2 linked regions of the Neodiprion lecontei genome follow. The protein of the gene in region 1 purifies or fractionates together with the protein of each later gene. This does not show direct contact. Links are inferred from orthologs where the notes say so. Each region holds a gene or a part of one and is shown in the gene's direction. Other genes may lie near its edges.

Region 1 (5,319 bases):
GCACATGGGGCAACGGACGTCACAGGCTTTGGCCTCTTGGGTCATGCCCAAAACCTGGCCAAACATCAGAAGAATGAAGTTTCATTCGTTATACACAATCTTCCGGTTATTGCCAAAATGGCAGCAGTTGCTAAAGCATGTGGTAACATGTTCCAATTGCTTCAAGGCCACTCCGCAGAGACCAGTGGCGGATTGCTCATCTGTCTTCCACGAGAACAGGTTTGCTATAACCATAATAAAAAATAATCCTAAGAATGAAAAAACTTGGACCTGCTGAATACAGTAGGGCATTTTAGACCGGTAAAATGTCCTAAAGAACGAGCAGGAAGATAAATTTTTGAGGATTCCCAAGCTGCGTCAACAATGTGTTGACTCGGTGTCGTCAACTCTTAAACAATCGAAATTTTTTCTATGTGTACGCTTGTTTCCAATAAGGTGTATCCAAGCTTTATTTTTCGGCGTTTATTTTTAGGCTGCTGCATATTGCAAGGACATTGAAAAACAAGAGGGTTACCAAGCATGGATCATCGGGATCGTTGAGAAGGGTAATCGTACAGCGAGGATAATCGACAAACCGCGAGTCATCGAAGTACCCGCGAAGGAAAAAGATGGTGAACTCTGGTAGAGGAGTGATCTTACGGATGATTATGTTATATGAGTTTGGTATCACGCATTCAAGGTGGTTAGATCTTGCAGTGCTAATAGCTGTTGGTTAGCAATTATTGTAAGATCGCCACGAATGTTGATCGGATTATCGAATAGACGGGAAACCACTTTGTGTTTCCCAAGTTCTTGGGGAGCTTGATAATATCTAATATACGTAAATATATATATATATATATATATGTGTATATATATATATATATATATATGTGTGTGTGTGTGTGTGTGTTTTTATCTTATACAATACATGATCGTAGAACAATTCATGTATAAGATAAAAACGAAGAGGCAAAGGAAAACAACGCCAGTAAAACAAGTTAATGAAGAGATATCATCAGCTAGTATATATACATTATACATATATGAAAAACATAATTACTATAAAATATAAAACAACGGTTTGCTTTTATACAAGACGAAACTGTGATTTTTTATTTTTTATCAAATTTCAACGTTGAGTGCATCTGAAAATGAAAGCAAATTCCAGTTAACGTTGATATTATAATCACTTTCAATTGCATAAACAAAGTGAGAAAAAGAAAATTTTCAATTCAACAGTTACGTGTAATTATGTTGACTTATTTTGACAATGTTGTTCCAAATTCCTGGTTCTTTTCTTTGCTTTCTTTTCTCAATATTTCCTAATCCTTGACTATTAGGGGCGTAGCTATTATGCATATGCTTGTAGAGAAACAATGGAAAGATTAACTCTGTTATAATCAAACCGAAATTTATCTGGCAAGTTGGCGTCGGAACGATGAGGCCGAGTAAACTAATTCCCTATAAATAATAATGAAGAGTGAAAGTGAAGAGAATTAAAGTAAAAGCTTATGGCGAACTAGCCGGGCAAGCTTGGCTAACCAAAATGTATTCTCGTTGAGACAGATGACAAAAATTCTAATTCAAATGCTTATTACACCCAGATTGCAATAAGTTACCGAATCTGGGTAAGTTATAATTTGCATATCTTGATTGAGTCAATTGCTCTAGTTTTCATAAAGTATTTTTCCTTTGTTATTCATAATTAATACCGTACTTTTCTACAGACTCAATTATTCGTACCCTAAAAAACGTTTATGAAATCAGACCATAATAATTCTGCGAGCACATTTGTAAACAGACGTTGGTAAACTTTGAGAATGATGGGGGTGAAATTTGTCATATAACATTTTAATAAAGCGCTACTTTGTCAATAACATAGTCGCCTCTTGGTTATTACCGTTCGCCACTTAATCGTACGACACCCTCCTAACCTAACCGTGATGTGGGTGTGTATGCATATATTAAACTCATACGTCAGCCATGAAATCGATGCACGCGATTGTCAAAATGGTGGTATTGAGACCGTCGACAGGTAAGGGTATCACGAAGGCTACATTTCTGTCGTTGAAACGGTACTTGAATTTTATCCGAAGCGGTCGTACAGCACCAGGAACCACCTCTAATGGGCTTGGATGTGATAAAATAAAACGACCATTGTCATGGTGTTTTGTTTTGAACTATGAGAGGCAGTGTGTCTGTATAGTCTATGTGCAGGTTTCGAGTGGTTGACAAGACAGCGCCACGGTCGGAAGTTCGAAATATATTGCTTGGAAAGCAATTCAAAAATTAAGAATCTGACGCTTGAAATGACGCTTTGAGAATTGAAACGGCAAAGATTTGAAATCGAAGAATCGGATACTAGTTTCCGGGATGGAGAAATACGTTGTGGTCGGAAGGATTGGCGAAGGCGCGCATGGGCTGGTATTGAAAGCTTATCACGTCGAGCAGGGCAATGAGGTGGCGTTGAAAAAAGTATTGCTCAAAAAGATCGACGAGGGTATTCCGACCTCCGTATTACGAGAAGTCAAGACTCTGCAAGAGCTGAGACACCGCAACGTAAGGAATAGCAGCACAACTGCGGGTCAATTTCATAATTTTTAACCATCTTTATGATCGATACCCACAGGTAGTCGAGTTAATCGACGTTTTCCCAGTGGGTTTGGATTTTGTCATGGTATTCGAGTACATGCCATCCGGCGTGTGGGAGATAATTAGAGACTCGGAGAGGCCGCTAAACGATTCTCAAAAGAAAACTTACGTTAAGATGTTGTTCGAGGGTGTATCGTACATGCATGCAAATAATGTCATGCACAGGGTGAGTTTAGAGGGTTTAAACAGCGTCTTCAAACCTACATCCATGAATAACTTACACTGGTTTGAACACTGTTTCAACATTTTATGCACACGCACCAAACTTCAATACCCTAAAAGATGACAGACAGAAGCTCTGACATTGAATTACACAATAGTTAACCGTCTAAATGAATTTAAACAACTATTTATCAAGTTAGGCTGATCAGTTTAATTGGATAAAGAGTTTAAACTCATAAAACTCTGGTTTCCTAGGATTTGAAACCTGCCAACTTGCTTGTGAACCGAGAGGGCGTGTTGAAAATAGCCGATTTTGGTCTTGGCCGATTGGTCTGGGACGACAACAGTCATTCCTATTCGCACCGAGTTGCAACACGATGGTATCGAGCACCGGAATTGTTGTACGGTGCACGTTATTATACTACAGCGGTAGACATATGGGCGGTGGGATGCATTTTCGGAGAAATACTTAACAGCGCGCCTTTATTCGCCGTAAGCGTGGATACAAAAGTTACGAGGTTGAAGTTGGTAATATTATCGCCACGAAAAATCGGGGAAAGAATCACTATTTCCTGAATTTTACAATGATTTTTAAGGGACTAAGATTTCAAAATACGAGTGTGTTTTGTTTTATGACGGTCTACTGAATTTTAGGCAATTTCAAAATGGCGGAATGACGGTTTTTCCACGGCATCAATCGTTACAATAACGTTACTAACTTCAATATGATGATCAGTTGCATCGTCCTTGTACATGCAATTGCGCACCTGTCCTTCGGTCTGTTTTAGGGAGAAACTGACATCGAGCAGCTGGCTATCGTTTTGAGACTGCTTGGCTCGCCGACGACGGAATCTTGGCCCGATTTGACTACTCTGCCAGATTACAACAAAATCACATTCCCGTGCCACAAAGGTTTACCCTGGGATTTGATTGTACCAGATGCGACACCGGATGCTATAGATCTGATCAAACAGCTTCTAGTCTACAACTCATCGAAACGCTTAACTGCCTCATCGGTATGTTAGATTCTTAGCAGTGTAATCAGACAGACTTAATTTTCTTTAACGACTTCTTGTTTCAGGCACTAAAACATTTATATTTTCATTCGCGGCCGTTCCCCTGCCCTGAATCTGCTTTGCCGAAACCAACGCCGGATCATCGGGTTCAAGTAAAGCCGGAAGAAGTTAAAGGAAACTTGAAACGTACAGTCTTGTTTCAAAATTTGTTGAGCATCGTGTAACCTTGCTAATCGTTTTACGTCGATGACTATATTTTGCAAAGATCTTACGACATCCGACTGTTACCCAAGAACTTCTATTTGGCTTACTTCTAGAAAGGCAAAACCGCTAATTCCTTCGTTAAAAATCCCAGAGCGGTAAAACAACTTGGCGTTTTCAATTGATTTTTTCTGAGAATAGAATGCTAAGGCGCGGTCTCTGTGGAAAATAACAAAGAATATCAGTAACAAGACGTGTGAGTGATCGAAGGCAACTGCTAAAGGGCCTCACATTGCATACATTATAAATTTTAATATATAAATGATCAGCAACTTTTTTCCATGTTTATTACTATATTAGGTAATTTAAAATTTATTATTGTACAGTAGTAGCCTAGTGATTATGTGTAGATCTTAGACAATAACCATACGGACAATTATTGATTAAAGATTCGTTAAAGAAATTAAAAAAAAAAAACATAGTCGGCGCGTTAAATTAATTTTTCTTCCGAGATCTGATGATACTAAATAATTACGATATTCTTAGCGAGTGCAATGATATACACGAGAATGTCGATAATGATAAAAGACAGCGAAGTAATACCAGCAATAATAACAGTAACGATGACAATAATAACAGTAACGATGACAATAATGACACTAGAATATAGTTTCACGTGTAAAATGCTTACAATATTGTCTCACAAAATGTGCCATAAATGTGATACAGACAGCCATAATCAAGCCATGAGTAAGGTATACCTATATGAATAATCGTCCATATGGCTGTTGCTTTGACATTTATATCTGCGTTATTGTAATTTGTCAAAAATATATTGTTCAATTTAGTCTACCCTATTGTTGGTTTTCTTCGCGCTGGAGCGACGATAGTATGTATTGAAAAGAATTTCTCTTTCAGTGCGTTGTTGAACCATTTTAAAAATTTTATTTTCGCATTCTTTTGTCCTTTTAGACGATGTTTCATTTATTGCAATAACACCTGTAATCGCGATAATAATTGCAAGCGTTTTGTAATCTTCTGTTTACTTGAATGTACCAGGAATATAGATTTTCTGCAAGAAATAAAAATATTTTGAAGCTAAAATTGAGTCAAGCTTTTTAGTTTTCTTTCTTCCTTCCGTTCTCTTTTTCTCCTTTTTGACTTTCAAGTTTTTTTCATAAGAAAATAATGGAAAGCTTTGTTGACAACGAAACCAACAACACGGGCAGTAAGTAGCGTATAAATATTCAACTGTTTTGCATTATTCAATTTTTTTCATACATAATATAAGCTAACCATTTATTTT
Region 2 (5,843 bases), about 27 Mb from region 1:
CCGCCAATTTCTATGTCAAACCATACCTAAAACAATAGATATTCTTAATTAGCAATCACATAAACCTCAAGTAAAAATAGAATAATAAACAATTATGTGCGTTTCCGCAAGGAAATATTTTTTCACTGCTTCCATCAAAGTTGACGCCCGAAGGATATTATTCCGAAACTTGATGAATTAAAAAAAGAAAGAAGATTAAGAGCAAACAATCATTGGGCGTCTCTCTCGTTTTGTCTTTGTCATTATTTTTCTGTGCGGGCATGTGACGATTATAAAGAAAAATATTGAGAGTTGAAAAAAAAAGTGAAGCAATCTATTCGAATCTATTTATTTCGAAGGATCGTATCATCATTGTTATTTGGTAATGCATAGTTGTTGAACTTTTTTCTTTGTCTCCCCGTGCCGACATATTTCAACAAACTGGTATCCCTTACCTTATCTGTAACTTTGGGTCCTTTCGGGGTGTCGGCGGTACTCCCAGAACATGAAATCAGCCATACGAGGCCGAAGATTAGTAGGAGTTTCATTATTTATTAATGAGAATAACGAATCGAGATGTGAAGGAATGTCAGGACGGAGCGGCGGAGAACCGGGAGAACCGAGGACGAGGGATACCGACCTAAACTGACAACGGATCTTGACGCAGATCCGACAAAAGCAATAGGTGGTCTGCTCTGATTGGCTGAGCATTTGCCACGTATATTACAGGAGAGAGGTGCCGCTTTGAAACGAAGGCTTCTCTACTCTGGAGAAATATTTTTTAGTCGTGCTGCCGTATTTTCATCGATATACGTATGTATGTACGTGCATACGTACGTAAATACATACACACGGCAACTGATCACTGTTTTACGATGAGAATGAATAAATATTATGCGTCATTTAACAGTTTAAATCTCAGGCGAAGGTATCGAAGAGAACAAAAAACATGGTTTACCGTTTCTATTGAAGAAAAAAAAATGTACAAAATGATCAATTTCTATATTACGTCTGAACTATCGACTATATACGACGCTTCATAGTCTAGCAGCTCAACCAACTTATAAATATTTTTGATAGTCAACGCACTGTGTAGTCAAGTCATCTTAAATTCCAAAAACCTTCATATATGAATTACCTTCATGTATTCTCGGTACACAAATGAGTTATTTTTATCCCTATATTTTCGTAAAGACTTGACTATTTGGAGCAAAAAACGTTCGTAGTATGGTTCCAGTATGTCTTCTGTTGTTTGACACATATCTTTAGTAAATTTAATCCGATAATGAATTAATAAATTCCGATGTCCATTTTTCAAAGATCAAGTTCGAGGACGAGAGGTAAAGATAATGGCAAAGAAAAGAAACTCTTTTTATGTAACCCTATCCTGATTTACGCGTTTTTCCATGCGTGTTTTCCGTAGACAAAGTACCCGTTTCTATGATGGTCGAATGAATCTGCGAATGCACATGCGCAGAGTACTGAAAAGACCACTTCTAAGTCCTCAGAGTTAAAAGTGGTCTTTTCTCTACTGGACGCATGCGCTGTCACGATCAAATCTGACATTACGCGACCCTAACCTCAATTTTGTGCTTCGCGAAAAAACGCATAACATACTTTTGTTATATGAAGAATTTAGTGCAAAAAGGAGGCAACGGTTTTATCACGTCGCGTACTTGCAATATTTATCTTCGGCTTTACCTACGACTTATATTGCAAGCTGACGCTCGGCTCGGAAAGACCGAGTTTGCCTCCTTCGTACACACTATACGATTTCCTCAAACATCTTAGTTGAAGATAAGGAAAAATTTCGGTTATAGAAATGAAAAGGAACAAACACATTTAATTGATCAGCAATTATTTTGTTTTACGATAAGCCGAGCAATACAGAATTCTTCGTGATGACTTTATGTACCTTTTGAAAGTTCGGCGTTTAAATCGTCTGCTAGCAGTAGCGATCGGTTCGGGCGCTAGCGGATACCATAGGCGGATACATGATTCATTGTCAGACGAGTTGATTTCTCGTGTACTGCGCGGTCGTGCGTTTGACCGCGGTGTTGACGAATAATTATCGAAAAAACCTGTGATATTAATCTTCTACATAACCCAACGAGCCGTTCGTGTGAATATTCCGAACCAGTAAAGGTACGTATAGACAAATTCCATACTCGCGTATAATTTTTTTATCCCTGTGTCTGTCTGGTTATATTCATAGAAACTCAATATCGTGCGTGATGTTGAATGATGATTTTGCACAATTCGTCTAATATTCTGTGCTCCTACTTCGGTGAAATAATAAGTTCAGTTCGGCATTCTTTGTTTTACTCGCTTTTGAAAAATTCTTGCTTTGTTTATGAAAACGACCGTGACGAATCATAACATAACCAAAATCAGTCGTCAAATTTTTACCTCGTAATAACAATTTGCCGGTAACTGTTAGCCGGATTATCATAATCTACGAAAAAATAGAAGTATGGAATGTTATTACTTGACACGATGATTTACGTGTATATACAATTGCTCTTTACAATTGCATCCGACTTTTCTCTTGTCATTAGAGCACTGTCGAAATGGATAACGAAACTGTTGATAACGCTGGCAGTCAAGCTGATTTCATTCAGAATGAGCTCAACTTTGATGTTGACCTGAAAGATCCTTTAACAAAAGCTACGCTTGAAGATCACGAAGAAGATGAATGGATGGATGTACTAGGAGTTGGTCAATTGAAAAAGAAGGTAGTCAAAGCTGGACAGAAAGGAACAAGGCCAAATCGGTCAGATATTTGTAGCATTAATCTGACTGGAAAATTGGAAGATGGAACTGTCGTTGAAAAGTATGAAAAATTCACCATTCAATTGGGAGATGTCGAAGTGATACAGGTATGATACATTGGCAATTATTGAATTAAAGATATATAGAAACTGTTAACAGTCATACAAAAGTGTTTTTATGGCGTACTGGAATAATTCAATAATTTTTCTTTTATGCCAAATAATTTATATATGCATAAAACAGGGACTAGATCTGGTTATTGCATTAATGGATGTTGAAGAAGTTGCTGAAGTTGAAGTTGAAGCTCGGTTTGGTTATGGCGACCTAGGAAGGGAACCAGACATACCTGGTGGTGCTAAACTTTTTTATACTATCGAGTTGTTGTCTGTTGAAATGGAACCAGAAATTGAAACCTTGGGCATTGCTCAAAGGAAAAATATTGGGTAATCAAATGAGTTTGTAGACTTGGAAGCTAATTGACATGGCTTGATTAGGATTTTTGCAATCTTTCTCATTCCATTTTTTCTCTAAATTCATTCCCGTCGCTTTCCAACTTGGAAGAAAAAATCAAATAATACGCACTCTTACCATAAGATTATTCTGTCACTTGTATAAACGGAATGGCAATTCATGTAATCGAATATACTATTATTATTTCATAAAATATTCCACGTTGCATAGGAATAAAAAACGGGAGCGAGGAAATTGGTGGTATTCTCGAGATGAAGCATCGCTTGCAGTTCAATGCTATAGAAGAGCTTTGGATTATTTGGATGAAACTAAAGGTGGGATAAATTATCCCCAGGGTGATCAGGAAGAGTCTATAAGTAACGCAGACCTCCAAGCTTTGCTAGAAGATCGTATGAAAGTTTGTAATAACCTAGCAGCAGCGCAAATGAAAACAGAGGCATATGACGCAGCATTGAAAAGTGTGGAAAATGTCCTGAGATGTCAGCCAAAAAATGTCAAGGCGTTGTTTAGGAAAGGTAAAATTTTACAACATAAAGGGGAACGTGCTGCTGCCTATGCAATTTTGCTACAAGCTGCAAAACTGGATCCCGACTCGAAAGCAATCCAGCAAGAATTGGCTATTTTGAAAGAAAAAACAGCCAAAGATGCCAAACATGAAAAAAATTTGTACAAAAAGATGCTCGGAACAGACAAGCAAAATGGTTCGCCAAACAAAAACACCAATAATCAAAACCCAAAGACTACACCTTCCACTATAGCATGGAGTTTGATTGGAGGGGCTGTTGCTGCTATAGCAGGAGTTATTGTGTACAGGTATAACATTTTCTAAACTTAATACATCATACTCTCAATACATAACGTACATCTCACAATATTTTACTTGCTACAAAGATGGAAGCCGATGGATATCATGAATGAAAATTAGAAAAAATGTTTATGTTGGCCTTGTGTGTGTTACTCTGTACAACATGATTATTTGACTTTTATTGAATTACTTATTTTGAGAAAAAAGTCATTTTTGATGCTTTATAAGAGCCGACAGTGTCCTTGTGACAACAAATCTGATATTCTAACTTATTGAATTTTTGTTCACTTTGTCTATAATACGATATATATTTTGGTGTTTATTCTATAAGAGGTATTGATGTTACCTTAATATATTCTCGGTTTTCTTATGATTGTGGTTTACTTGCATTTATCAGAAAGAGATTTATGATTGATATCGAGAATCATATTGCGTACCAAAAACGTAGCATTTCTTTTTCAATATTTAAAGACAAATACTTTACATGTAAAGGGATTCAGGGTTAACTCTCTAAAAAAGACATAATTTTGTAACAAATCAAATTAGTAGCAAAACCGAACATTCCTTGAAACATCATAGATTAACAACAATTATTATAAACGAATTGTAATTAACCTTACTCTGCATGCAATCTGAATAAAACAAAGTGAAAAAAAACTTTTGATACGAGAATTATACATACAAGCGAACTAAACACTGTACGCATTGTATAGTAAACTAAAATCATTATTTTCTTCTACATTGAAAACAATGGCGTGCATTATCTGTGCACATTTGCCCTTGACAAATTTGTTATCTATCGTGTTATGTGATGCTTAAAATAATTGAATCATCATTAATAAAGGAAAATTAGCTGCAGTTGACTAAATGAATTGACAACATTAGTGCGATTGGATTTTTTGGAGATATCACTGCTTGGCAAGAAGAGTCTTGTGCAATTGCGCATATGAAACTGAGTACTCTGTGTTGCTCGAGAAGTTTTCGTTTAAAGTGGAGTTATACTGGACAACTAAACTGTCGTTAAATTCAATGTTATAGACTGACTATTGAGTGATAAAACTAATACAATACTTGTTAAATAATAGGCATCTTAGAATTAAATCAAGTGTGAATATTAATTAACCAAATAAATCATTGATTAAATTTAATCTCTGAGTATTGTACTTGTTACATTATTTTAACAGAGAAGTTTCTGGAATATTGAAGGTAATGAGTATTTGTCTAAGTTCAATGAAAATCTTCACATATAACAGCACCAGTAGTGGGACCCTACCCGGTACTGAGACACTTGGCTATTTCAACGCAATAATAAGTGGAAATTTCAATTGTTTCAATGAACAAAAATTGAAACAATTAAAATTTCCACTCATTATTACAATGAAATAGCAAAGCGTCCCACTACCAAGTAGTGTCCCACTGTTGGTGCCGTTACTTATTCTTTGTACCGTTTCAAAGCAATAAGTTTTTATAGATCAATGCTCGGAAATGCAAAAATGTAGGAAAATCATTGTGCAATTATGTATATATTATTTTTATTTCATATTCAACATTCCACCAATGTAATACACGATTTTAAATAATTTATCAATAAAATTTATATGCATTCATTTTTATATATTACAATATTAATACTGAAGTTTTGTCACTTTCTAAAACTAAATTTTTGCCTCTAGTACCTACATTATTAGGTAACATTATTCAAACTAGAAATTTCTCTTACACGACCTGAAAAAATATAGTCGTGATATCTAGCTAAAAATTCTTTTTTTGCGCAATGTGTTATCATCAAAATATAGATTTTTATTGCAGGGTCAAT

The links.
Region 2: the proteins of cyclin-dependent kinase 20 (region 1) and peptidyl-prolyl cis-trans isomerase FKBP8 purify together in Homo sapiens (affinity purification with mass spectrometry; 5 studies listed by BioGRID and IntAct, with this or other methods). This does not show direct contact. The link is inferred for Neodiprion lecontei from reciprocal best matches to the Homo sapiens genes CDK20 and FKBP8.

What each region holds. Positions count from the first base shown.
Region 1 is NC_060264.1:35,206,920-35,212,238, reverse strand, and holds cyclin-dependent kinase 20, read left to right. Parts: upstream 1-1,996; 5' UTR 1,997-2,355; coding exon 2,356-2,541; intron 2,542-2,611; coding exon 2,612-2,800; intron 2,801-3,051; coding exon 3,052-3,288; intron 3,289-3,584; coding exon 3,585-3,812; intron 3,813-3,877; coding exon 3,878-4,036; 3' UTR 4,037-4,575; downstream 4,576-5,319. Other genes in the region: inactive selenide, water dikinase-like protein, read left to right, coding at 1-219, 473-625. UniProt on the Homo sapiens protein: Required for high-level Shh responses in the developing neural tube.
Region 2 is NC_060264.1:8,164,294-8,170,136, forward strand, and holds peptidyl-prolyl cis-trans isomerase FKBP8, read left to right. Parts: upstream 1-1,951; 5' UTR 1,952-2,124; intron 2,125-2,161; exon of another isoform or gene 2,162-2,450; intron 2,451-2,537; 5' UTR 2,538-2,549; coding exon 2,550-2,858; intron 2,859-2,994; coding exon 2,995-3,194; intron 3,195-3,432; coding exon 3,433-4,035; intron 4,036-4,871; coding exon 4,872-4,890; 3' UTR 4,891-5,175; downstream 5,176-5,843. Other genes in the region: peptidyl-prolyl cis-trans isomerase 5, read right to left, coding at 1-26, 435-527. UniProt on the Homo sapiens protein: Constitutively inactive PPiase, which becomes active when bound to calmodulin and calcium. Seems to act as a chaperone for BCL2, targets it to the mitochondria and modulates its phosphorylation state.